3 separate regions of the Mus musculus genome follow, and all the other regions are reported to be linked to region 1. Evidence: microRNA targets listed by miRTarBase, many of them from high-throughput screens and not tested one by one. Region 1 holds a microRNA gene; each other region holds the end of a gene's coding sequence.
The links. The annotated mature microRNA mmu-miR-10b-5p reads UACCCUGUAGAACCGAAUUUGUG and lies in region 1 at 4,813-4,835, shown strand. An mRNA with a match to its seed (bases 2 to 7 or 8) in the 3' UTR can be bound and repressed. Matches are read on the target gene's strand: a 7mer-m8 pairs with bases 2 to 8, a 7mer-A1 pairs with bases 2 to 7 and ends in A, and an 8mer does both.

Region 1 (7,260 bases):
TCACACCAGGGCTGTTTTATTGCTTTATTGCTTTAAGGCTCTTCAGAGCCTTACTCGCCAGAGTCCGGTGGGGCCTGTTCTCCACTTTCTCACTTCACCAAACCTCAAGTCTTGCTGTTTTAAGCAGTTTGGTCACTTGCAAAGGCTTCTCTTTCAGATCTGAGCAAATTATAAAAACCCCTAGGCATGTGGCAATCTTCAACTTTCACCAAGCCCCATCCACAACAATACAGAGGACACTAAGTGTTAATCCCAGCTGCCTCCCCACCCCCAAGGCCACCCAGCCTCTCCCCTGGCCACTCTTCCCTATTGAATCAAGCAAAAAATCTCAAAAATAATTTCCAACTTTTGCGATAAGCAAGTAAGAAGTAGCCTTTGTCTTTCCTGCTTACCACATCGAATGCTAGAAAATGATTGAAATAAAGGCGGTGATGGTACTCACAGTGGATGCAGCCCAAGAGTCATAGGACAAGCCTACCAACCAGCCTTGTCCAAATAGCACTATCCCCCAATTTAAACAGCTTTCTCTGAAAAGATGCAAGTTGAAAAGCCCGGGGTATTGATATGAATATGACCTCTCTCGCATTCTGGATATTTGGAACTATTTAAATCCAAGGGAACAGTTGCAGTGAACCTTTATTTAGTGAATAAAAGTTTAAAGCCAAAGGTTATTTATGGTTCTGCAGAGCCGGGACCTGAGTGGCTATTTATAAGCACGTGATTCCAATAAACTTTGTTTTATGGCTTGAGAGTTGACAAGCCAAAATATAATTCCCACCATAAATTAGGTTAAGAGCATACAAGTGCAGATGCTTGGTTCCTGTAGCAGCGATAGGCAAGTGAGAGGCTCCAGCCAGCGCCCCGGGCTCAGGAGACAGCTCTCCTCTAAGCTTCTCTACCAACGAAAAGAAACCCAGTAAGTCACTCATTACTTTGTCCACAATAACTCTAGAGTTGTGGGGCAGGGGGTCTGAGCCCAGCCTTCTCTGCTTGGGGAAAGCCTATCTATTGAAGTTCATTTTAATTTTAGCCTAAGCCTAACTTAATAAATTGAATGGGGGGTCTTGGCATTTCCCTCTCCTGTGTATACCTGGAACGTTGGGAAGTGAGGGCCTTCTACCCCAAAAGCAGGACTTACACTTGCCTCTCAGTAGTGGAGCAACAACTTTAAAAGTGGAAGAAAGCAATGATGGGGGGTGGGGAGGAGAGGGGACCGGTGTGGAGATGAGTTACCTCTGAGGTAGTTCAGAGCGGGGTTTGCCCCCCCTTTTCTTTTTCTTTCTGTTCCTAGAAGACTAAAAACTTGAAGATGGACATGAGTGCCCTGGGAACCACTGTTCTCTTTGATCGGTCTGTAGGTTCTCCTGCAGGTATGTTTAAAAAATTAATGTCAAACAGATAGAATGAGATCATATTTTAGACCATGTCTGTAAGATCTAGATCATTTTCCTTTAAACACATCAATTTCCCTTTCTGGTTATCTTTTGGGTTCTCATTTCCCCTCGGAAGGAAATGACTGTTTTGAATTGGAGACATGGAAAAAAAAAAATATGTCCCTGCCTGCCATGCCTCCTCTTTGAGGAGAATGCAGGTTTGGACGCTGGGGTGGAATTAAAAACCAACCTGAAACTGGAAAAGGAGGTCTGAACTGTTTCCAGAGGGAGCAGAATTGGGGTCGGGACAAATAGAATGTCTGCAGGCTCTCACCAGTGGGCTCGCACCCACCCTCCCACACCAGAAGGAAATGCACAAAGGCCTATTTTCTGACTTCCCATTTCCCCCCTGGGGAAACCCTGCCTCAGGCAGTCTGAGTCAGGCCGTATAACTGGTTGGGTTTTGCCCAAGGGTGCGTGAAGTAGGGTAGGTGACCAGGACAGACTCCCATAGCCCTTAGCTCTGCCTTTGAGGATGCTATCAGAGGAAAACTTTGTGCAGTACCCGAAGGCGGTCACCAGAAGCAAGGAGTTCTAGGTATTGGTGGAATGTCTGGGCCTTGTCACGTTCTGCATGTCGCCTATGGATGCTTTATTGTCCTGTGAAATTTGAGAGACCCCACTTTCATTGCAACAGGTTTTGGAGCGTCAGGGAGAACGAGGGAGAACCACTGTAAGTACCTTCCCTTTTCTTCCGAGGAACGAAAGGGTAGTGCTAAGACTGGGAGGAGGTGGGCGGAAGGTCCGCGCCAGCGGTGATGGGAGGGTTAAGGAGTAGCGGAGTGGCGCTGCCTCCCCAGGCCAAAACGGACTCGCTTCGTGGAGGGATGGAAGCTCTAGGCTGACCCTTTAGGAAGTATTTCTGGGACCTAGTTCACAGTCACCTGCTCAAGTAAACGCACCGCAGGGGACCGCCCTTGTCTTCCCGGACCTCTCTGGACCATACAGGCCTTTGCCAGGCTTCTCTGGCTCGCACAGGTGCAGCAGACTTGCAGCTAATTAGCAGCCCACCCTATCAACGAACTGAACTACGGGCGGGCCAGCATCCACAACTGCTAGAATTGACCCAATCAACACCAAGGCAACGGGGGTCCCTCTCTGCTGTCCAGCCATTATTCTCTCTGCCCAGTCTATCTCAGCCTTCTCTTGCTGTATATAGGTTTTAATTTAAAATTTGATTTATTACAGACAAAAACAAACATATAACCCTTGATGGTCTTGGGTGTGTTGGATTGGCCTGTTTCCAGGAAGGGCTACAACTTCTGAGCTTATGTAGACATTCCTCTCCTGTCCCTTTCTGGGTCCTAGCTTCACTGGTGTGGGTCCCAGTTTGGGATACCCGGTGAACAAAAAGAGTACTTTCTCTTTCCCTCCGTTTCTCCTTAGCTGCAGTTGAAGAATTTCTACTCTACTCCAGAGTCCAGTGGAATTGGGTGGGATCAGAGGCAGGGACTCCAGTTCTTTGGCTCTGAAGTTTGAAGCTGAGAATGCTGGTGACATCTTCTGGGTGTCATTAGAAGGGTTGGCACTAGAAGGAGAGTCAAGGAAATAGTAGAGGCTTGCCACTCACTGCAAACCACAGGTAGTTTAATTTTAATGGAACAGTAGCAGATTGGTAAGGACCACAGGGACCAGGCATCCTCCCTCTCTTGTGAGATGTCTTCCCTTCCTGGTCAGAGAAGCTGAGACTGGGCTCAGGGCCAGGTTTCTTTGCTGGGCCCCTGGTGAGGCTGAGCTAACAGGGAAGTGAAGACCTTTACAGCTTGTAGTTCCTTCTATGAACCAGGCCTGCACACAGTGAACCAGGCTCCATGGTGAAAAATCTGGACTCCCCAGACTTTCTCTGGCCTTGCCCCTGCCCTCTTCCTTGGCACCCTTGGCTGTGAGGGCTCATCTCTGCTGAGGCTGCTTGCTTGCTGGCGCCTTGTAGCTGCCCACAGCACAAAAAGCCGGAGAGATCAAAAGCATTTGTATGGGCAGTTGAGAGGGAGGTGAATATTTAACGCTTTTGTTCATCAATAACTTGTTGGCTTTGACCTGTCTGAACAAGTCGAGCAATAAGGTGAAATGCAGGTCACAATGTCTAACAAATATGAAAATGTGTGTACTCATCTTGGTCCTCACTCAACCCATCGGACTTCCCCAATTTGTCTGGGTAAAACAGAGGTAGGCCCAGTGTCCCCAGAAAGGCCTGTCAACGTGTCCATGGGTGAAAGGGCTGGCATTAGGAGAAACTGGGGAGAGTCTTTAAACAAACGGATTTTAACCCCCTTTTTTTTTTTTAGAACTGACACCTGGGAAATCCCTGCAAAATAGTGGAAGTGAAAGATGGTGGGAGGGCATGGAAGGGCAAAGTACAGGGTCAAAGTGAGCACCTAATTTTGCCAGATATGATGAGGGGAGTCTCCCTGCCCCACCCCATCAAAATCAAGGCATGGGGCTTGAAAGTGATTTTTCGAATTATATAGGAAGGGATCAAAACAATACTTAGAAATGTGGACATCTTCAATCTGTTATCAGGCATCCATAAGCTCGGCCCAGGCCAGGGCATCCCTCTGCCCCTGAAATCAGCCCAGCCCCAGAGTGCATCTGGGCTCTTGATGCCCTGAATTGAGGGGCAAGCCCAGGACAGCGGAGGCGCTGGGGCGGCGAAATTCGCGAACTTTTGTACTCTTCTGTGCTGCTGTCGGCAAAGCAAAAATAATGAAACTTTGTGATATGTTTGTAAATGATTTCGAATGACCCCTCGCCCTGCCCTTCACCATTAGCTCGACAGTCTCAGCCCAGGGAGGCTCGGTGGCCGCAAACAGCGCCTGCCTCCGGGTCTGCAGCAGCAGTCATAGCAGCAGCAGAAGCAGCAGCAGCGGGATCCGAAAGTCCGGCGGGGCTGAGGGCCCAGAAAGGTAAATGCTCGAATTCTAGGAGGACTAGCTGTGACCACTCACTTGGCTTAGGTTCTGGTGAAGACTATTCCTTTTGCCTTTTTCAAAACTCCCTTTCTGCTGCTGAGGGCCTTTGCTTCTTTTTGGGAAATACCACTTGATAAGGGGGCGGGAGATTTGGGTTCTGAGAAGGGGCAATTAAGCCGCCATCTCTGGGGTGAAAAAAAAACTCCCCTTCTTTTCTTTTCTTTTTTTTTTTTTTAAGAAGAAGAAGGTCCTGGCTGCTCAGCTACTTGGTGGCCCCCATCCTGGCAAGCCGATGAGGGAACTCATTGCTGTAGCGAGCAGCAATACTTAGAAATGCACCGAGCCTACCTGCACCATCTCTGAAAGCCAGGCTTGGTGAGTTCCTGGTGGCTGTGCTGAAGAGATCAGGTCTGGCAGCTGCCTGAATGTCTGCTCTGGGTAGGACCCGAGGTTGTAACGTTGTCTATATATACCCTGTAGAACCGAATTTGTGTGGTACCCACATAGTCACAGATTCGATTCTAGGGGAATATATGGTCGATGCAAAAACTTCATATATCTCCGACATGGCCAGAGACTGAGGCGCGGAGAGTACTGGCAGCCCAGCCGGCAAGCCACCTCTTTCTTTTTCATTACCTTAGACTCCAGGATGATCGACTTTGCCTGGTGAAATTGTACAGCCTTTTCCTGGAGAAACTCCTATAGATATTCCAGTAGGTGCTCAAGTGGTTGTCTGAGTGTAAAGCCAGAGAGCCAGGTTTTAGGGTATTAGAGAGTGAGGTGAAAGGCCAGAAAGCTCCAGCAGAAGCCCTGCTCTGAAGGAGCATGAGACACAAAGGTACCCAAATGGGGCTCACCTGCCCTTGTGTGGGAAGAAGACAAACTGAAAGATAGGCCATCGGAGACCGTTGGGGTACATTTAGGCAAGGTTAAGGTCCCCCTCCCCACCATCCCAATATGACCCAACCCCTCAGCCACCAGACTCAGAACTGTGAGGGCCTCCTGCAGAAAGATCCAACTTCAACTAGAAACACCCCAGCCTGCGCATTGGCAGAAAAGCATAGTGGTTACTCATTGCCTAACTCAATTCAGGTCCGCCAGATTCTGGTAACTTTTGGGTGACCCTGATGAAGACAAAGCCAAGACAGGTCTTTGTATGTCAGAGTCCAGGACTCCTGCCAGCTGGCCGGGCAGCCTGCCTGCCTGCCTAGGACTCTACCCAACTCGGAGGCCACATTGCCCACACTCATTCTTCCTTATTTTGCACCCCAGTAGGAGAATTCACTCTTCTTTGAACTATGTCCATTCTGGGGGCTGCTTCAGGCGATGGTGAGTAAGGAGGGCATGGGAGGTTAGCAAAGTCAGTGGAAGACAAAAGCCGAGATTACCTGCCGGAAATTGGGACCCCGGGGATAGAATTAGAACTCTATTAGCATCTGTCAGGGACTCTCAAATGTGGCATGGCAAGTCACTTGATTACACGTATGTTATTTAGTTAAATTTGTGAAAATTATGAGATGCTCACCAACCCGGTGATAAACATGCTTTCTTCCTATTGGCTGGCCTGGTCACATGGCCGCCCAACTTTATTCAGTTGACAGCAAGTAGGAGGGCCCAATGGAAGGAGAAAAAAGACAACACGAGAAAAATTAGTATTTTCTACCTTCTGAAATTAATGGCCATGAGTTCGTATATGGTGAACTCTAAGTACGTGGACCCCAAGTTTCCTCCGTGCGAGGAATATTTGCAGGGTGGCTACCTAGGCGAGCAGGGAGCCGACTACTACGGCAGCGGTGCACAGGGCGCCGACTTCCAGCCCTCGGGGCTCTACCCACGGCCCGACTTCGGCGAGCAACCCTTCGGAGGCGGCGGGCCCGGGCCTGGCTCAGCGCTGCCCGCGAGGGGTCACGGACAGGAGCCGAGCGGCCCGGGAAGTCATTACGGTGCCCCGGGAGAGCGGTGCCCAGCGCCCCCGCCTGCGCCCCTGCCTGGCGCTCGGGCCTGCAGCCAGCCCACCGGCCCCAAGCAGCCGCCCCCCGGGACAGCACTCAAGCAGCCCGCTGTGGTCTACCCTTGGATGAAGAAGGTGCACGTGAATTCGGGTAAGGAGTGGGGGCAGCGACCTCACAGCCCTCCCGCACCACTCCTTGCATCTTTTGGCCTGCACCCCCCACCCCAGGGGTTGCGAATGGGTAGGGGCTTGTGCAGCTTCCTTGGGCGCCGCAATTACTCTCTCCATAAATTTTTATAGCTGAGGGAGCAGGCCGGGACCATGTGGCTGGCTGCTTGGCTGTGGGCGCAAAAGGGGGTGGGGATGGGGATGGGGTGGGGGGAGGACTCCATTTCCACAGCAGAGGGAACGCAGAGCAAAACAAGGACCTTTCCAAAATGTTGGCGATACCGAGCTCTTGGTGGGCCAGTGGCAAGGGAGAACCTTTGAGGAGGACCTGTGAGCGTGGGGAGTGTGTGCATGGAAGGGCTTGGGTGGGAGTGTGTGTATGTTTAGGGAGAGGGCGGGAGGGAGGAAGCTGGCCAGCTTGGAGCACAGGGGGGGCCCGAGGGCTGCGAGACGCGCCAGGAAGTGAGGGCAGAGGCAAGCCTGGGGCCTAACTAGTGGCCGGGCTCTGACCTGGCTGTCTTGTATGTTTTGTCTCATAGTGAACCCCAACTACACCGGCGGGGAGCCCAAGCGCTCCCGGACGGCCTACACCAGACAGCAAGTCCTAGAACTGGAAAAGGAATTTCATTTTAACAGGTATCTGACCAGGCGCCGTCGGATTGAAATCGCTCACACCCTGTGTCTGTCTGAGCGCCAGATCAAGATCTGGTTCCAGAACCGGAGGATGAAGTGGAAAAAAGACCACAAACTGCCCAACACCAAGGGCAGGTCTTCTTCCTCATCTTCCTGCTCCTCTTCA
Region 2 (7,000 bases), not on the chromosome of region 1:
TCGAGCGTTCCCATGTGCCAGGGGGAGCTGAGGCGTTGGAAGACTGGCCATTACACATTAGTCCACGACAACACCAAGACTGAATTTGCCCTGGACCTGTTTCTGTACTGTGGCTGTGAAGGTAGGGAGGAGCAGGGCCATGGATCAACTCCTTAGTCCAGGCAGGCTCTCCGAAGCGACTCTCCAGCTCAGCCAACTCAGAAGTGCTGGCCTGTGGCCACAATCCCAGAATTCTAAAGGGTGTTGGGGATGGTGAATTTTAGTTTCCCCAAACAGAATTTATATCTGGGTATGGAAAGGTTAATTCCTTTAATTTCCTCTTTCAATATTCATTAGTAAGCCTGGGTTTCAGTTCAGCTGTCTGGGAAATTAGCCATTTAATAGAGAGAGAATCCATGATAGCAGATGCTAAAGGCCAATACAGAAGTTCCAGAGCCCCAGTTCAGCAGTCACTCACTCTGGCAGTGGGAGCTCAGTGCCCTTTGTCTTTCCCTCGTCAGGCTGGGAGCCCGAATATGGCGGCTTTACCTCCTACATTGCTAAAGGTGAAGATGAAGAGGTAAGTAAGTGGCTTCCTTCTGTCAAGTTCTCCTTTCTAACTCTTGAGAAAGTTCTGTTCTTCAGACACCAATTTATTTACCTGTTGGTTTTGTTTCTTTGCTTTGTTTGTTTGTTTGAGGCAGGACCTCACTCTACGGCCCAGGCTGGCCTCACCCTTGGCACAACACTCCTGCCTCCATCAAGCAAAAGCTGATGTTACAGGTGTGAGCCACCACGACGGCAAGAAATACACATTTTATGACCTCAGCCAGTGTTCTTAGCTGATAAATCCATGCTGGCCTGCCTCGAGGTGGCTCTGATTTCACAAGAATATATGGGAGCTTGCAGTAACTCAGTAAAGCGAAAGGAAATTCAGCACACACTGTTGTGCCTTACTGAGAGCCTGAGTTAAGAGGCTCACACCCACCACTCTTTCTAGGGAGTTGGAAGCAAACACATTAGGCCAAACCGTTTCCGGGTTTGTGCTAGTGAGGCAGAGCTTGTTGGGAAATGTCTAGACAGAAACACACCTCTCCTAATAAAAAACTCTTTGGGACCTCCTCCCCAGCCTAAAGAGTCACTATGGAAACCACCTGCTCTGTGATGACTCCCCCGAGCGGAGCGGAAAACGAGCTCTGGGTTCTGACATCTCTCGTGTTTCCCGTTACAGCTGCTCATAGTGAATCCAGAAAACAACTCTTTGGCGTTGGTCTACAGAGACAGAGAAACGCTGAGGTTTGTGAAACACATCAACCACCGCAGCCTAGAGCAGAGCAAAGCCTTCCCAAGCAGAAGCGGCTTCTGGGACTTCGCATTCATCTACTATGAGTAACAAGATGGGGCAGAGCCAGCTAGCATTCACTCCACCAGTGCCAGGAACATGGGGTCTTCGTGGAGTGAGGGAGAGTGGGGCATGCTGGGTAACAGCGTCCTCCGAGCAGGCTGTCCTTGCAGGCTGTGTGGGTGCACACCTGTGATGCCAGCCTCGGGAGGCAGAGAAAGGGGACCTTCAGTTCCCAAGGTCAGTGTGGCTTACACGGTGAGACCCTGTCCCCAAGCAAAACAACTCTTGGTCATCCTTTCAGAAAATTCATCTAGACCTCATGCTAGAGCTATGTACTCGTCCCTGGGTTGCAGAAAAAAATGTTTTCCCCCATTGCAATTCTCTTCGTTCTGTAGTAACTGCCTTGGCGACTTTCTAACTTTGGTGATTTTTTTTTTAATTTATGGTGTATATACAAAATTTAGCAGGGTCACTTTTTTTTGGCTTAGAGTTTGGTTTGGTTTGGTTTGGTTTCTTTTGACAGGGTTGTACTATGTAGCCCAGGCTAGCTCTGAAGTACTGATTCTGCCACCTCAACCTCCTAAGTGCTGGAATTGCAGGCATGAGCCACTGCACCAGTTCCTGCATGTGCAGTCCGTGGAATTGAGCATACTGAAGTGCTCCAAAGCACCCGTCACTGCCATCTGGAAAACACCCAGACCTCATAGGAAGTGGAAATGGTTTTCTGTCTTCCCATAGGGGAGTGCTACTGCCCTTCTTTGATGACTGTTCGCCTCATGAGTGAATCGTGCAGTGGGTCTCGCTTCCTGATTGGCTTGTTTCACTTAGCACAGCGTCCTCAAGGCCTATCAGTGTTTTTCTTCTTCACTCCTAAGTAGTTGTAGAAACTTGCTGAGCCCGAGAGCTGTGACACACGGTGCTCCCACTGTGGGCTGAGCTCCACCCTGACTCTGAGGATAGGGTACCCTCGGGGAGGTAGTGTTGCTCTTTTGGAAGAGGTCTGCCTGAAACCTAACATAGCTCCAGGAATTCCATAGCTGCTTACTGCCCTATGTATTTCCTCTCGTCTACTGCCTTCCAGACCTGGCATCGTGGCTTCTCTGAGTCTAGCCTCCCAGTGACTATGCGTTCCTAAATGCTGGAAGGCCGGGTGTGGAACTTGCTGCCTTTCCCTTCCTTTTGAAAGACCCCCGTGCTAAAAGGCAGTGTCAGGAGGAGAAGTTCAGGAGGAGAAGCCCTCCTTTTGTCTCTGGTCTTTCCCCTGAACTGCTCCATGGGGCTGTGGCACAGCTCTTCCCATTGTGGGGGTGTGCATGATGGCTGAGAGATGTCCTCACACCACCCCACACCACATCTATTTGCTGCTTTCTTGGTTCCTGACTATCCTTGCAGGTTTCAGTGTGGACTTTACTTATCGGTAGGAAAAACGCTGGACCTTTAAGTATCTTATTCACACTTCTCTGACGTCCTAAAAGTCCATCCAAATGCATTCTGTCTTTTACATTGGCTTTCAATTTGTTTTGTTTACCCAGTCAGTAAAACACACTTTAACATTCATATCCTAGTAGATACTTACAAGTTTTATATGTTTTGGTATTAATCATAAAACAAAGTAATTTTTAAATAATGACATGAGAATATCCAGACCTAAACTGAGGGGACATACTTTAATCCCAGCTTTTGGAAGGTAGAGGCAAGAGGATTAAGAGTTCAAGACTATCCTCAGCCACACAGCGAGTTTAAGGCCAGCCTGGGCAGCAGTACACCTTGCCTCAAAAACAAAGATGGAGCCAGGAGTGGGAAGCACGCATCTTTATTCTAGCACTCAGGAGGCAGAGGCAGGCAGATGTGTGAATTCAAGGCCAGCCTGGTCTACAAAGAGAGTTTCAGGACAGTCAGAGCTATATAGTGAAACCCTGATTCAAAAATTAAAAACAAAAGACTCTCCAGACCTAGTTTGAGAGTTGTCTTCCCACGCCAGGCAGTGACCAATGACAGGCTGTTGCCCACGCATACTGTTGTAGACTCCACCGCACTTTAATCCAGAGTAGTGCTCAAGTTGGACTACGCATACTTTGTTGCTAACGGTTACTTTTGAAGCTTGCCTTTTCTGAACTGCTGCAGACTAAAGGCAGGCCCACTCCCCCACCCATCCCACCCTCACTCCCCACCCCCCATTGAAGTGCCTGAGTGGGAAGAACTCTGAAGGGTCCCTCTGTCTTTGCAGAGCCTCCTGGTCTGCAAGAACAATAGAACCTACAGGTTGCCTTTCTGCTCTAGTGAGCAGCTGCGTTTTTCAGTTGCCATGTGCCGCATTGTTGATGTATGGGTGAGACAGATGGTGTATGACAGTGAGCCCGTACGTCTACAGTGGAGCTGAAAGATGCCTGAATTCCAAATCACTCAAAGTCACCGAGAGGCTAGGGAGAACAGGCAGCTGTGCACACAACTGTCACTCACAGGCCACCACCTTATGTGTTCACTCACATGACCTGCTCAGAGTGTGTGCTGTTAAAGCGCTAACTCCCATGTGCAGACAACACAGGTGGAAAGCAGTGAGAATGAAGACAATCAATAAGTGTATGGGCCTGTGTGTGTGTGTGTGTGTGTTAGTATTAACAGAAAATTCAGAAAGGTTAAAAATGAAAATAACTCAAAATATTTTTGTACAGCTATACAATATAAAGTTATAAGTCAAAGTTTAAAATAAAGTTCTATTGCATAAGCTAAGGCTATTGAAGATGGAGTATTTTTAACGTGTCGTCCATGTTGGAAGGCAGAAAAGCTTCCACTTAGTCTGTCCAAGAATACTGTCACGTTTGCACAAGTGATCTTGCCTCAGTTTGCAATTGCTTCATTCTTGATCCTGATTGCTTGCTGCTTTGGGCATGGGGCAAGAGAGTCAAATGTGGGCTCTCAATACCTCTTGTTGGTAAAAGCTATGCTGCTTTCTGTGTGACCAATGGCATGTCTCTCTTAATAATGAGCCTCTAATTCTTTCTTGTTTTCTTATTGATTGGTGTTTTCGAGAAGGGTCTATGTATACCCTAGCTCTCTAATTGCTAAGATTCTAGAGTACCACGGTGTCCAGCTGTGAACTTCCAGTTCTCATAACTCCTTTTCCTAAAGGTGATATTCCCTCCAAAGATAACAATACATAAACAATGCATGTTCATTGTTGGGAATTTAAAAGTGTGGAAAAACACATAGGTCAGCTGAAACCCCTTGCCACCACCCTTTGACAACTGTGTGCTGCCGTAAGCGTGTCAGCATGGCCACCCTGCCCTGTATTAGGAAGCATGGCTCCTCTCTGCCCTCTCTTCCCTCTCTCCTGTTGGGTAAATACAAGGTTGTAAGGCACTTTGTCAGGCTGGGCTCAGAGGGAGCCACTAAGGCCGCCGCTGCAGACAAGAATGAAAACAGTTTTCAGTGGCTCCTTAAGAATAAAAAGGAGCAGCCAGAGATGCGTTTGGAGATCTGTATTCCAGCTAATGCTACCCCAACTGATAGACTGCCTTTAGATTTGTTTTCCCTTAATATAAATGTTTACACATACATTTGAGTGATAAAAAAAAATGGATGTCTGTATTTTTTGTTTTCCCCACAAAATAAAAGTGTTTGTGCATTTCTGCTATGGTGGTAATTTATAAACAACAACAAGGAAGACCAGTGCCTTTTATTTTTAATGAAAAAGTAGGTACTCCATTTTAAATTTCAGTAACAATTTCGGGGGGAATAAATTCATACACTAACTTTATGTACAAAAACAAGTTAAATTCTGAAATGGTGATATATTTTAAGATACAAATCAGCAACACCACTGATATCAATGAAGGAGGCTTTCAGCCGGAGTGCTTTGTCCTTAGCTGTATCAGTTAGCATGGTTTCATCCTTAGCAGCTGGATGCCCAGGCTGTGATCGGGAGCCAGCCAGGCTCCGTGTCTAGACCTTTTGCAGGGGCTTCCTTCCTCTTTCCCTGTCTCCTATGAAGGAGCAGTGCCCACTCGCATGATTCTGAAGAGGGTGTTGATGTTGTTGCTTCGAATCGCATCCCGACAAGCACTGATCACCTGGTTCTTTGGCTTTCCAACTGTGTGAGAAAAAACATTGAGTCGGTGCTTCCCAAAATATGATTAAAAGGGAAATTAGAGATTCAAAGCCAAGCCAGGTTGGTGGCGCACGCCTTTAATCCCAGCATTCTGGAGGCAGAGGCAGGCAGATCTTTGAGTTCAAGGCCAGCCTGGTCTACAGAGTGAGTTCCAGGATAGCCAGGGCTAAACAGAGAAACCCTGTCTGAAAGAAAAGAGGTGGGGGGTAAGGACAGTTTGAAGACAGCATAAAACCAGGGTAGAAAAGAATTACATATACATATACATAGCTAACTTGCTACCTCCTGCAGGGTGTGGTAGCTCACGTCTTTAATCCCAGCACTCGGGAGGTAGAGGCAGGTGGATCTCTGAGTTCGAGGCCAGCCTGGTCTACAAAGTGAGTTCCAGGACAGCCAGGGTTATACAGAGAAACTCTGTCTCGAAAAAAAAACAAAAACAACAAAAAAACAAAAAAAACAAAAAAAACTTGCTACCTTCTAGGAAAGACAGAATTTATTACAAAAAAACTTAGAGGTCATCCCAAGCCAGAATCAAAGTAGGTTTGTAGAGATGACTCAGCTTGCACTCCTAACAAAGGCAGCTTGATCGAAGCAGCGGAATCAGCAGCTCTCCGGCCGCATTTCCATTTCCTGTGGCCTATCCCACAACTCTCTACGCTTCCAAGATGGATGCTTGCCCAAGTTATTTTCAGTTGTTGGTTTTTTTTTGTTTTGTTTTGTTTTTTTCCGTCCCTAACTTACAAAGTTATTTTCTTCCTTTGGATTATAAAACTAAGTTTTCCTTTAGGACAGTGGTTCTCAACCTTCCTAATGCTGCAACCCTGTGATATAGTTAATTCTTCATGTTGTGGTTACCCCCAACCATAAAATTATTTCTTTGCTACTCATAACCACTTTTGCTACTGTTATAAATTGTAATTTTCTGATATGTGACCTCCAGAGAGGTCACACCCCACAGGGTGATAATTGCTGCTTTAGCAGCTACAGCAAGATCTTAGAAAAGGAATTTAGGGTTTTATTCCTTTTTTTCTTTTTTTTGGATTTTGGTTTTTCGAGACAGGGTTTCTCTGTGTAGCCCTGGCTGTCCTGGAACTCACTCTGTAGACCAGGCTGGCCTCGAACTCAGAAATCCGCCTGCCTCTGCCTCCCAAGTGCTGGGATTAAAGGCGTGAGCCACCACGCCCGGCTATTTATTTATTTATTGAGACAGGGTTTCTTCATGTAGCCTTGGCTGTCCTGGGACTCATTCTGTAGGTCAGGCTGGCCTATACTAACAAGAGATCTGCCTGCTTCTTCTACCTCTTAAGTGCTGGGATTAAAGGTGTATGCCACCATGCCCTGCAAGGCTTTATTTCTTTAAAAAACAGAACAATAAAACCAAAAATCTGTCTAGAGAAAACTAAAGTCCTGGGTTGAGTAGTAGAAGCCAGGGCCAGCTCTGGAGTGTTGAAGGAAGGCTGCTTTGGGCTTCAGTGTGAGTTTTATAATGTATCCACAATCTTCTGTGACCCTCATGTTTTCAAAATACCATAGGCAAATCAGGTACCAGGGAAAGACTTACCGCGCAG
Region 3 (7,000 bases), not on the chromosome of region 1:
GGTGGGCACGGCACAGGGGTAGGTGAGGATACCCCCCAATGTCACATGCTCAACCCCCCCAACCAACATAAGGCAGAGCTGTGACCTTGACAGCACCAAGGTTTTAAGCAGGCTGTGAACCTCAGATTCCCCTGTACCCTGAGGGAAGACTGAGCCTCCTCTGCCTTCCCATCAGTCTCTCACAGAGACCCACACCGGAACATGAATACAGGAGGATCCCCAGTTCTCGCTCATCCTTATTTTTCTCCTGCAAGAACTGGGGCCCTGAGATAGCCACATCACGTGACGAAGACAGGATGAACGTAGGCTCACACACACAAAATCGCGAGCACAAGAGCGCGCACGCATACACACACACACACACACACAAGCACAATGAAGCATCTAGGGCAGGCAGACCCAAACACCTGCCCTGCATGCAAGAGTGGTGCTAACAGGCGAAACAAGCAGACATGTATGGTGTGTGCAAGCCCATGTGTGAGCACAGCTCCCTGCACCAATGCACGACTGTACCTGGCCATCCGGGAGGACACACCACACACGCGCATGGCTCCACACGCGTGTGAGCACATACTTGAACTAAGATCCACGCGCACCGCGCACGCGGACCATGCACGCACAACGTATCACAAGTGTGCACGCTGCGCGTCCTGCGGTCACTCGAGCCTCTCCATGCCCAGCGGGCGCGCACACGCGTGTTCACCCCACGAGCACGAGCACGCACAAGCCTCCCGCAAGGCCTGGCTTTCCCCTCCCCCTCTGTCGCAGAGCCCGGGCCCCAGGTGCCAGGTTAAGGGCGAGGGGTGCGGGATGCGGGACCAAGAATGCCAAATGCGAGACCCATAGCCACTACACCCGAGTTGCGCTCCCCTTGATCCCCCAGCTGTCAGTGAAACGCGGGCTCCTCAGTGTGTGGACCTGGGTTGCGCTCACCCTTACCCTCTCTAAGCTGAGACAACGCTGGCGACGGCGACCGTGGCGACTGCGCTGGCGACCGGGCCCCAGAAGAGGATGCGGGGGATGCAGGCGGCGGCGGGGGCTGCAGGCGGCAGCGGAGGAGGCTCAGGCCCCTGCAGTCCTAGCTGACGTCCTGCAAAGCCAGGGGCGGGGCTTTCTATGCAAACGAAGCTGTGACGTTAGGGGAGGGACTGCATCGACAGCCGCGGGACCACACTGGCCTGCGCCGGCAGAAGAGGGGCAGGGCCTGGTAAGCCACTGGAAGACGGGGCTCTAGGGAGGCATGAAGTTTCCATTGGCTGATGCTCTCGAGCGACGGACCGAATATCAAATCAGCGATTCCTACGTCTTTAGAGGCCCAATGGTGACTGCTAGGTGTTTGAAGGGCGGAGAGGCTGAGGCCAGGACCTAGCTCTGGTTGGAAACTTGTGGTTAGAAGTCCTTGCTTTTGAGACGTGAAGCACTCAGGAGTTTAGGTTTTGTTTTGAGAAATGGTCTCAAGTAACAAGCTGGTCTCGAACTTGCCAAGTAGCAGAGGCTGATCTTGAACTCTTGATCCTCCCGCCTGCACCTCACAAGTGTTGGATTGGCAGGCATACATCTTGATTACATTTTAGGGCTCAAAAAACTCATTAAAGACCACACAGAATTTTTAGTCCCAGCACTCAGAAGGGAGATGGAGGCAGATCTCTGTGAGTTCGAGGCCAGCCTGGTCTACAACGTGAGTTCCAGGACAGCAGGACTATGAAGAGAAACTTTGTCTCAAAAAACAAAATAAACAAGCAAATAAATAAATAATTTTTAAAAAAAGAAAGAAAGAAAGAACTGTTTTTTGATGGGCTGAGGATAATTCTCAGTTTGGTGGGGAACCTGCATCACAAAGACCTGGGTTGATCCAGGCTCCTGTTCTCTGCACTGGGAGGAGAAGGGAAGGAGGGGAGAAGCAGAAGTCCAAGGTGATCCTCAGTTACATAGTGTCTTAAAGTCAGCTTGATCCACATAAAACCCTGCCTCAAAGAAATAAAGGAGAAAATCCGGTCTGTGCAAAGAGAAAAGGGTCTGATGAGTCCCCAGAGAACCCCTTGCTTCCTTGCGCACTTAGGGCTCAGAAGTATCCTGACCCATAAGTCTTCCAAAATTGTAATGAAAGACCAAGGAAGCAGAGAAGATTCAAGAGTAGCTGCCCAACGCCCTTTACGATATGGACACTGGGACCCGGGTAACCCTGTGTCTCAGGAAGGTGGGCGCAGAAATGCAGACTTCCAAGCCGCTATGATACACACGACTCATTCCTGCAAATCTGCCTGTCAAGGTGGGAATCTGGGGTCTATCCTATTCTTCCTCTCCGTGCGGCCGGGCAGGGTCCCCATCGCTTCCATTCCCACAGGAAGCAGAACTGGGAACGTGTCCTGGCCCTGTTTATAGACCTCCCCGCCAGCTGCGGAGGCGCCAATGGACCAGAATAACTTGTCGCCTGGATGCTCGTCCACCCCCGCGAGGAGCCTGGAGCCCCGCCCAATCCGGGGCCGCTGGAGGAAGCTTATTTCCTGCTTCCCCTGCACTTCATGCAGAGACACAAAGTGACCATCAGTTTGTTACTTAGCGAGCTCCGGGCCCACGCGGAGGCTACTGTGGGGACCGGGACCGGGTTTGAGGACAGAAAGGGTGCAGGAGGAGCCTGGGACACTGGAGCCTGATTTGGATTTATTCCGAAGGGATAAGGTTAGGGGAGGAACCCATTTGCTTCCACCACCAAGCAAGGGCTCCAGGAGAACTGTGCTGGTAGCTCAGTAGGTGGCAAGGCTTCATCGGAACACTTGGAAAGCTGAGGCAGGAGGGTTGTTGAGTTCTTTATCATCCTGGATCACAAAGTGAGACCCTGTTTCATACTATAAACGTGTGCGGGGAAACTGCTGGCATGGTAACAGAAACCTTTAATTACACAGCACTTGGGAATTTCTGAGTTTGAGGCTCCCCAGAGAGGACAGCACAGCTGTCTGGAAGAATGAAGCAAGTGTGTTAAAGGCCTGGGCAAACAAGAGCACAGGCAGAAGAAGGGACAGAGGGAAGCTGTTCCTCAAATCTTTCTAAGTTATATTCATTTATTTGTGTTGGAAAGAGGGGAGTGTCACAGGACAACCTAGGAAGTCAGTTCTTTCCTTCCAGCACAAGTCCTAGGAATGGAACTCACGTCATCAGGTTTGTGTGACTTCCAAATTCTCCCACAGTGAACACACATGACTTTGTTTAACAAGAAATCTCTAAGGGTCGCCTCTTAAGACATCTGGAAGGAAGAAGGAAATGTTCCAGTGTGTGACCCCAGATGGCCTTTTGTGCCTCCTGGGGATGAATAGCCCGAGTCATAATATTTACAGAGGAAGTCGCCTGCCACTCTGGCTCCTTGGAGGCCTTGGTCAGGTGCAGAGTTACAGGCTCAGAGGGAAAAAGGAAAAGGGAAAGAGAGGGACCCCCCCCCCCCCATGGCACATGCCTGTTACCCCAGCCAAGCACTCGAATGGTGGAGGCAAGAAAATAACGTTAGTGTCATCCTCTGCGGCAAACAAGTCTGACATTAGAACTTGAGACCATGAGACCTTGTCTCAAAACGGCCAAAGAACTGTTTGGAAAACAAACAGGGAATCAGTCATACCGCCAGGGGGCACCAGTGCCCACTCTTAGTATATAAGCTCTGAGGGACTAGTTATGACTCAGTTTCCACACAAGAGAATGAGTAGGTGTCGCGGCTATTCCTGGTTGTCAACTTGACTATATCTGGAATGAACTACAATCCAGAATTGGAAGGCTCACCAGTGACCCTAATCTGGAGGCTTGGAGATAGAAGTTTCTGATCTGGATCTTGGTATGGAGATCTTAAGACATAGTGGCTATGGCTTCCAGAAGATTAAGACAGGGAGATCTCATGGGCTGGAGAGATGGCTCAGTGGTTAAGAGTACCGCTGCTCTTCCGAAGGTCCTGAGTTCAAATCCCAACAACCACATGGTGGCTCACAACCATCCGTAATGAGATCTGACACCCTCTTCTGGTGCATCTGAAGACAGCTGCAGTGTACTTACATATAATAAATAAATAAATCTTTAAAAAAAAAACAAAAACAGGGAAATCTCTGAGTTCAAGGTCATCTGTGATTAAAGGTGTGGTGGCACACACCTTTAATCTGGGCTACACCTTCTGCTGGAGACCTACATAAGGACATTGGAAGAAGGAAGGCTTTCTCTCCTTCACCTGCTTGCCGTGTAGGACTGAGCAACTGCTAGATCCTTGGACTTCCATTCACAGCTGCTGCTGACCACTGTTGGGAGTTGAACTGCAGACTCTAAGTCATCAATAAATTCCTTTACTATATAGAGAATACCCATAAATTCTGTGACTCTAGAGAACCCTGACTAGGGAACGCCTATGGTGAAGAGAGGTGTGCCGGCACTCTGGTTTGAGAAGCCCAATCTTGTCAGAGACAGGGATCCTCATTGACGGGAAGACTGAGGCCTGCAGTGCTCTTCTATTTATTCTATTTTTGCAGTGATAGAAATGGAACTCAGGACTTCCCAAAAGCTAAAGCTCTGTTACCAGAGCCACACCCCAAGCCCCTCATTGGGCAATTCTAGGCAGAAGCTCCACCCCTTAGCCACACTCCAGCTACTTTTTTTTTTTTAAAGATTTATTTATTTATTATATGTGAGTAACCATTGCTTTCTTCAGACACAAAAGAAGAGGGCATCAGATCCCATTTCAGGCCACACAGTGGTGGTGGCACATGTCTTTAATCCCAGCACTTGGGAGGCAGAGGCAGGTGGATTTCTGAGTTCGAGGCCAGCCTGGTCTGCAGAGTGAGTTCCAGGACAGCCAGGGCTACACAGAGAAACCCTGTATCGAAAACAAACAAACAAAACAAAACAAAACAAAAAACAGATCCCATTACAGATGATTGTGAGCCACCACGTGGTTGCTGGGATTTGAACTCAGGACCTCTGGAAGAACAGTCAGTGCTCCTAACCACTGAGCCATCTTTCCAGCCCACTTCCAGCTCTTTTTATTTCTAGTCAGGCTGCCCAGCCTGGACCAGCTGTCTCCACACACACACAGCCAAGTCTGGGGGATGCCTATGGTGAAGAGAGGTGCACCAGCACACTGGTTTGAGAAGCCCAATCTTGTCGGAGACGGGGATCCTCATTGATGGGAGGACTGAGGCCTGCAGTGGTCTTCTAGGAGGGTCACCGGCCTCCTGATATCTAAGAAGAGTCTTGTGCAGCCAATGGTGTCAGGAGACACCAGACCTCAGTGGGAAGTGTTCCCCGCCCGCATTTTACGAAAGGGATTCCCCCGAGGGACTCAGTAAAGGCTTGCAGCTGGACTGGTGAAGGCAACATTGGTTCCATCTTTAGTGCCAAAAAAGAAACCAACTAAACCATAACACAGAGTCCGACTGCATGTGCTGAAGCTGACGTGCAGACTGCAGCTGAGTCTAAGTCTGTCTTCTGAGATGCAGGAGTCGGCGCTTCCCAGGGCTGGTGCCATTCCAGTCTGTGGGCAGAGCTGGTCCCAGCCTCCCTCAGGCTTGGCTCTGTGTAAACCTTGGCTGTCCTCTTTGAGTGGTGGAACGTCATCAGTGCCCATAGGTGCCCATGGCCTGACCAGGACTCCACGGTCCACACTAAGCTAGCCCAACTCTTGTTGGACAAAGCAGACCCTGGGCTCTGGGCTGGCCTTAGAGGACAGGAGTTAAGTGCTGGGTAACTCTGAGGACTCCCTGTTCAGTGCTGTGCACTGCCCTTCATCCTCCTCTTCCTCCTCTTCCTCTGCTTCCTCCAGGGTCAGCTCAAACTTGAACCTGTCCGAGCCCATGGTGTGTGGAGGGCTGCAGGGAATCCTACTCTGATACCACTCTCTGTTGTCTTCCAAGGTGTCCAGAAGCTCCTGAGCATCGGGGTGCACTAGGTCAGCCCATGTCTCCCACAATGGCTGAGCGATGTAGTCAATGAATCCCACCTTAGGGTGATCACAGAAGGGGCAAGTGAGACCCAGTGAAACCTAGAATTAGTCCCATCTCACAGTTGGCCACCTGGTGTTCTCAGCCTGGAATTCTCATTTGCCAACTCCTATTCATCCTTCAAAATCCTCTTGAAAAAAGCCATCCTGGCACAACAGGAGGAGACTGAGGCAGGGTGATCTCAAGCCAGTGAGTTCTAGGCCAGCCAGGGTGACAAAATGAGATGTCTTCAAAACAACAAATCAAAACATCTGCCCTAGCTGGCTGGTGGCGCACACCTTTGATCCCTGCACTTGGGAAGCATAGGCAGGCGGATCTCTGAGACAGAGACCAGCCTGGTCTACAGAGGAGGTCCCAGGACAGCCAGGGCTGCACAGAAAACCCTGTCTCAAGAAAGACTCCGCCCTGTAGTGGGCACAGCTCCCTTCCCGCACCTGGGATTTCTCCATCGAGGCTGTGTGTTTGTCGCACATGGGGCTGATGTCCAGACCCGACTCTCGCTCCCGGTCACCCTGCTGGAAGAACTCGGCCATGATGCGCTCCGTCCACTGGCGGTAGAGGGGTAGCGGCTTGGCGGGGTTGCTGAGGTCAGCGCAGTGCACCAGGCTCTGGAGAACCTGTTGGGTATGGGGGGACTCACAAGGCCCAGCCACGCCCCACCTCACCACATCCCAAAGCTGAGTGTAGTGTGGTGGTGCGCGCCCAAGGCAGGAGACTGTTGACTACTGAAGCAGTCTGAGCTACAGAGTAAGACTCTCTCAGGAAGCTAAAGCTGAAAACTGAGGCTATGGCCCCGCCTCACAAACCTGGATGCGGTCAGAGTAGTTGTCCAAGAGCAGGACGCCAAGGCTGGTCACTTTCTTCGTCTCCACCATGGTCTTGAGGTCGGCCAGAAGGCTCATGTGCTTAGACATATCTGTGGCCAGCACCTGGGAGGACAGTAAATTAAGGATGCTGCGCCTCTGAGACCTGTGCCTCAGTATCCCCACCTGTGAGAGGGAGGATGGAAACACTGGGCGGCACAGTTGTCAACTGAA

Region 2: miRTarBase lists Ogfod1 as a target of mmu-miR-10b-5p. Seed matches in the 3' UTR shown: 7mer-m8 at 1,844-1,850.
Region 3: miRTarBase lists Pde4c as a target of mmu-miR-10b-5p. Seed matches in the 3' UTR shown: 7mer-m8 at 4,838-4,844.

What each region holds. Positions count from the first base shown.
Region 1 is chr2:74,721,262-74,728,521 of GRCm38, forward strand. It overlaps Mir10b (microRNA 10b), which reads left to right and starts at 4,809; the gene lies at 4,809-4,876. The region is part of intron 1 of Hoxd3 (homeobox D3); the gene reads left to right. It overlaps Hoxd4 (homeobox D4), which reads left to right and starts at 717. Exons shown (of 6, transcript NM_010469.2): 1 at 717-916; 2 at 1,292-1,370; 3 at 2,071-2,106; 4 at 4,202-4,717; 5 at 5,615-6,444; 6 at 7,001-7,260. The coding sequence starts at 6,018.
Region 2 is chr8:94,062,969-94,069,968 of GRCm38, forward strand. Ogfod1 (2-oxoglutarate and iron-dependent oxygenase domain containing 1) reads left to right here. Exons shown (of 13, transcript NM_177767.4): 11 at 1-121; 12 at 501-559; 13 at 1,211-4,954. The coding sequence ends at 1,372. Bbs2 (Bardet-Biedl syndrome 2 (human)) reads right to left here. Exons shown (of 17, transcript NM_026116.3): 16 at 6,994-7,000; 17 at 4,984-5,414. The coding sequence ends at 5,308. Among named protein-coding and RNA genes, the nearest start is that of Ogfod1, 29 kb to the left of the region's middle.
Region 3 is chr8:70,748,803-70,755,802 of GRCm38, reverse strand. Pde4c (phosphodiesterase 4C, cAMP specific) reads right to left here. Exons shown (of 17, transcript NM_001310465.1): 15 at 6,770-6,892; 16 at 6,398-6,580; 17 at 4,617-5,962. The coding sequence ends at 5,696. It overlaps Rab3a (RAB3A, member RAS oncogene family), which reads right to left and starts at 1,100. Exons shown (of 5, transcript NM_009001.7): 1 at 940-1,100.